Linked DNA regions of Saccharomyces cerevisiae S288C. The gene in region 2 interacts genetically with the main gene of each other region. Each region holds a gene or a part of one and is shown on either strand. Other genes may lie near its edges.

Region 1 (2,984 bases), on a different chromosome or scaffold from region 2:
AGGGTTTCGGACCTCTACCACAAGACAATCCAATTTGATACTTTGGTAAAATACTATCGTACCTTTGGCGTAAAAGGACAGTTGCCGAATTATGCGGGTTTCAAAGCTAAAAACTCTGGCACAATTTATGAAAGTTGTGGCAATTTCCTAGAAGAGCGCCTGATCAATGCCAATAAATCGACTGCTCAAAGACGCACCAGTATTGATGTTCAAGTTTTTGATACCAATCAAATGGAGGTTTCGTACCTTTCGGAGCTAACTACTCTTCAAATTAGGCAGTCTGATGCAATTATATTATGTTTCGATTCTACTAATGACAGCTCTCTTGCCAGCTTAGAGTCTTATATTTGTATTATTCACCACGTACGTTTGGAATGTGAATTGGATATTCCAATTATTATAGCGTGTACGAAATGTGATCTTGATTCGGAAAGAACAATTACTCATGAAAAGGTTTTAACATTTATCCAAGAGCTGGGTTTCTCGCCAGGCAATTTAGACTATTTTGAGACATCCTCCAAGTTCAATGTAAATGTTGAAGATTTGTTCTTGGCAGTATTATTGAAAATTGAAAAATCTAAAAGTGATCGCAGGAAACTTTTGTAAGGGTTTATAATCAAGATGTATCCGCTGGAGAATTCGCCTCTCTTACGTGACAAAGAGAAGACCTGTGTTATTGAAACTGGAGGAGGAGGTAATACAAGCTTCGAAAGCCATTCAGTAACAACTACTCTAGATGAACCAAAAAAACCTACAACAAAAAAGGGTGAACAAACGCCAACGAAAACGTGCTTGGCTAAAAACGCTACCACTCGAAGGTCAAATGAAAGTCCGTCGAATGATGAAAAGAAAAAAATAAAAAAAGGCATAATAGCCTGCTGCTTAATGTGAAAATAAAAAACAAGAAGAACATGTATATATATGTACTTTATTAGAAAGTGAAAAGATCTGTTCATTGTGACAGCTATCTACTTATTATCTATTTTATAAATCCCATAAATTCTTTCCATATTACTTACGTCTATTATAACCTTCCGCGTAAAAAAGAAATATTGACATCCTTTCTTGTATTTAGCCCATACATTTTCACCCATGCACCATTGGATTATAAAGAAAAAAATTTAATAAAAATCTGCCGGGGAAATTTCAGAAGAAAAAAGGAAGGTGTGTTCGCATTTAACACGGGCCACCATAAACTTTTGTTTGCCACCCATCTAGACGGGATCCGCCCCGCCCAAGGCTCTCTTCCTCTAGCTAGGCAATGTGGCTCTCGGAAAGGAAACTCCCACCAGGACGTGGTGGGAAATGCAGCAATTCCCCTCTGCTTCCCGCTGACCTTTCTTGGGCCCAGTTTAGTAAGTATGCTCTCATCTTTCATGTGTGCTGTAACTTGCAAGTCATTAACACTATCTATAATTGATATTAGACGTTAAAAGTTCTATATAGCATTTGCTTTTATTTAGAGAATACGAAAACACACCAGATAATTAGTGCATATATATTAGATCAATATGGTATGTGAAAGAGATATTAAACATAAGATGTGAAGGAAACAGAAGAGAACAATATTTGAGGAATGAATTCGGATGAAATTCTAGTAGAAGAAAAAAGCCTAAAATAAAAAGAAAGAAAGGAAAATAAAGCAGTAATCAACCTCTGACATTTGATAGGAGTATGCGTTTCCGCAAAATCAACAAATCATGCATTAAACTGGTAACGGAGACTTTAAAGACGTGCAAAGAAAGCAATTAATTTTTAGATAGGGAATTGAAAGGCTCTGTATAGCAGAAAATTTGAGATCTACTGTGGAGATAAGCATATGGTGTTGAGTTATGGGTAATCTAACAATAATAGAAACTTATAGCAGTTGAAGATGGCGGATCATGATGCCGGATACTGCTGGGTAATGATTTATCCTTCTTTTTTTGGAGCACAAATGCTCACTTTTTCCTGTCTCCTCTAACTTTTCTGATGTATCCTACCCAACCCTACAGTTTTCAAATTACTAACATCAATTTTTTTGTGAAACGACTTTCGTTTTCGTTTCTATTTATTTCATTACAGGTTTTAGTTCAAGATTTGTTGCACCCAACTGCTGCTTCTGAAGCCAGAAAGCACAAGTTAAAGACTTTGGTTCAAGGCCCAAGATCCTACTTCTTGGATGTCAAATGCCCAGGTTGTTTGAACATCACCACTGTTTTTTCTCATGCTCAAACTGCTGTCACTTGTGAATCATGCTCTACTGTCTTATGTACTCCAACCGGTGGTAAGGCCAAATTATCTGAAGGTACTTCTTTCAGAAGAAAGTAAGTTAATTTATTTTTTTGTGTAGTTAAAATCATCTTCTTTTATCTAAATATATAAATATAAATTTACTTTTAATCAATTAAATTAACCTTTTAGAATCGGAAAGGATACGCTAAGGAGGCGATGTTGAAGTAGGTCGGCAGGTTCATTATATATTTAAATAATGAATTTTCCAATGATGTTTAAAAGGAGAGGAACATTCTTGACATTGTTAATCTTATGATCAAAGGCACAATCCGTAGGAGAGGAGGTTTTGTCATTTGAATTGTATCGTACAGTAAGTTTCTCTAGTATTCTTAGTAATGACCATAAAAGTGCAGATATAGTCCTCGACCCTGTAGCCACAGTTAGCTGCTGTGGTGTTAAACAAAGGCATTTCATCCGAGCGTAACCTCTTTGTAGGAGTTAAATGGAGTATCGTGATAGAGCCCAATACTATATCCACAATAGTGATAATGATAGTAACATTTGATACATCGAATACCCTAATAGTAATACCAGTCACATTTGGTTAGAAATCGCTGGTAACATTACTGATACCATTTTTTGGTATTAAAATCTATACTGTAAGTGCCAGAAGCATAAATGATGCACCTGGAATTACATGTATACATGTTATTGCAATGGTCATTATACCGGGCATAAATGTCACTGGAAATAGTGAAAGCTGCTGTTAG
Region 2 (2,936 bases):
CTGCCGAGTTATATTTTTCTTTTTTTCTCTTCTGATCGAGAATGAAAAAAAAGCCTGTAAGTGGGTTTATGATGTACAGAGGGCATGGTGCATTTTAATAACTGTTAGTATTTCTTTTGCTCCTCCTATCCAAGAAGGGAAAAATGCTTGGCGACTAGATATATGGTCTGATTTCGTTTCTTTTTCTAGTTGAAAGAAAAGGAAGAAAGGAATGACGGCAGAAAAAGATCTGAGAAAAGTGCGTATATTGAAGCTATACGGGGTATAAAACTTGATATACACGGTAAAAGAAAATACACTGATAACCATGATCATTTTCCAATTTAAGAATATTAAGGAGTAATTTTGTTAATCGAAGATTCTCACCAAAGTTTGTCTTTTTACTTTGAATTTTTTTTTTTTTTTTTTGGAATTTTTATTAAAATTACAAATTTCAAAGGAAAAGTCAACCTACCTCTTAATCTATCTATCTTCTATGCCGTAAACCCATTTTAGGTAATTCCGAAAAAAGTAAAATCAGAACTTAGCTAAATTTGTAGAAGAACTGAATTTTCTTCTGAAATTATTTGCGTCATTCTGGCCAGAAAATATTTTTCTTCTCCTAGCATTAATGAACCAATTGGAAATTTGAAGTTTAGTTAGACCAGTTTTCGCGAGCAGTTCTCTTTTTTCCTGCACGGTTGGGTAAGGGTTGTTTACGTGCTCATGTAACCATTTGTTTAGAATTGAAACGGTGGCCTTTGGTAAATTGGACCTCTTACCATGTGCCTTATGTTTTTTTTCTTTTGCGGAATATCCATTATTAGATCCGCGGACCGAGTTCGTACTTATGTTGCCGGATAGCATTTTACCTCGGGAAATGCTAATAGGCTGAGGATTTGTATAACCACCTATCATCATACTCTCATTTACCGGATGAGGTTGTGCCAGTCTCTGCTCTTGATAGAAATTGGGAGTTGAGATATGCTCATACTCGGGCTGCGAAGAAGTTACCGGAGGCCCCCCTACAGTTATTATGTAATTTCTCTCACCCGTAGATATAACTTCTCGGTTATTATTATATATAACTGGATACTGACGTATGTTTTGAGTCATAATAGCGTTGTGATTCTGAATGCTTCTCTGTGGAGAAGGACCAATGAAAAAAACAGGGGATGATACTGGAACCGGGTTAACTGGGCTACCAACTGCTATATTTGTTCTAGGAACAAATGAAGGATTAGGTTGATATAACCTGCGTTCCTCGAAGTGGGGTTTTGTTTCATTTTCTCGGTTAAGTGACTCGAATAAGACCTGGATTGGGGGCAGTTCAATCTTTTGGTTTAGATTTACTATGCTAGTACCCATTTTTTTCTATGCAATTATTGTTGACTTATTTCTACAGTGATTACTTCCTATACTGAAAAAAAAAAGAAATGCTTTTGCCACTCAAGAAGTAATGCTCTAAAAAAATTGCTGTATGCATGACTGTAGAAAGTTTAAGCTAACGAAGCCTTCCATATATATACTAGGAACCTTTCTTTTTTTGCAAACCCTTCTCAGCATTTATTTTTTTCTTTTCTTATGATCACTTCAGCTTTCAGTGTGCTTCAAAACAAGGGAACGGCAATTACACGTCACTTAGTGTGGGTAGCGGCTTTTCCTGGCGCGAATGAAAGATAACAACCACTGCTGTATGTTTGCCCCTATGGGGTGTAACTTAAAGTCTGAAAATTCCCTACCTCCCATGAAAAATGTCTATAAATTCATGCACGGTTCTCTTGCTTTAATGTACCTTCCCCTTGCTCTTCTTACTAATAAGTTGCCTTGAACGGCCCAGAATTTCGCGTGGGAAGGCGGGTTTTAGTCGGAACCGAACTGGGAATGTTTCTGCTCCAGTGCGCAGAGCGGATCTGCTGTCCCTTGAACCGATAATAGGCGTGGGAAAAAAAGGTTGAGCGAGAGCAGTATAGAAAAACAAGAGTTTATAATTTCTTATTTCGCGCAGCTGCCTCTTGTCTAGGCGGGGCCAAAACAAAGCTTTTTTACTCTACTCCATGCTATGCATTCATTGTTGATAGTTGCGCTGTTATTTCTCAGGGGCAAGTTGAGCTAAAGCAACACTTGTTTATTGTTTATTGTTTATTGTTTCTTATTCGTGATGTTGGGTTCACTAAAGTACAGTGTAGTGGCAGGGGATATTGGTAAGTAAGAACTGTTTCGTAGTTTTTTTTATTGGCGAAAGTAGGCTTAAAAAACCAACTAGTATTACCGTGCTGCGCCAAGCCATTTTTCAAAAATCTAAAAGTTTATGTCCTATTGGGTCTAGAGCCAGAAATGTTGAATGACAGTTACTCTTTTTGATAATTAGTTCTAGTACCACTTTATTCACTGCCCGTATATCTCGTATAAACAAGTAATCTTGTTCTATATTTACGCTGCATTATTGAATGTGGGAAGAAAAGGAAAGGAAAATAAGCCATGAGCGAAAGAAAAAGCAAATCACAGTAAAAACAACTCACTACATTTCCGCCTCCCCCCCTTCAAAGAAATTCCCAAGAACTTAACGGATTTGTTTATATTAGCAAAGCTAATCTTCAGAGAAAAGACTGCAGCCTTGGTTCTGCAAAGGGCCTCAATAAAAAAAAAGCGCTGCGCTACTCTACAGTGTTCTATTTTTTATTCGCGAAAATGATGCAACACCCAGTCACGATACATTTGATTAGTTAGATTCTGTGGAGAATGCACGCCACACTGACTATGCAAATGCAAAGACATTAAAATTGTACATGCTTTTCAGCGGTGCCTTATATGTCAGACCATCAATATAGTTCTTTTAGGGGAGAGTCAGCGGTAATTTATGTGCATATCTGGTTTACCTACCGTGCTTGCTTATCTTCCTCACAAGACTTTCTGTTGTTTTTATGGTCTGTATGAGCAATCTCCGGTATGCATTT

The links. Genes that interact genetically often act in the same process or in processes that back each other up.
Region 1: mutations in TOS8 (region 2) and ECM12 together harm fitness more than expected from each alone (negative genetic interaction), as found in Saccharomyces cerevisiae (one large-scale study listed by BioGRID).

Annotation. Positions count from the first base shown.
Region 1 is NC_001140.6:147,197-150,180, reverse strand, and holds ECM12 (Ecm12p), read right to left. Parts: upstream 957-2,984; coding exon 501-956; downstream 1-500. Other genes in the region: YHR022C (uncharacterized protein), read left to right, coding at 1-606; 40S ribosomal protein eS27 RPS27B, read left to right, coding at 1,512-1,514, 2,065-2,310. UniProt on the Saccharomyces cerevisiae protein: May be involved in cell wall organization and biogenesis.
Region 2 is NC_001139.9:323,742-326,677, reverse strand, and holds TOS8 (Tos8p), read right to left. Parts: upstream 1,348-2,936; coding exon 517-1,347; downstream 1-516.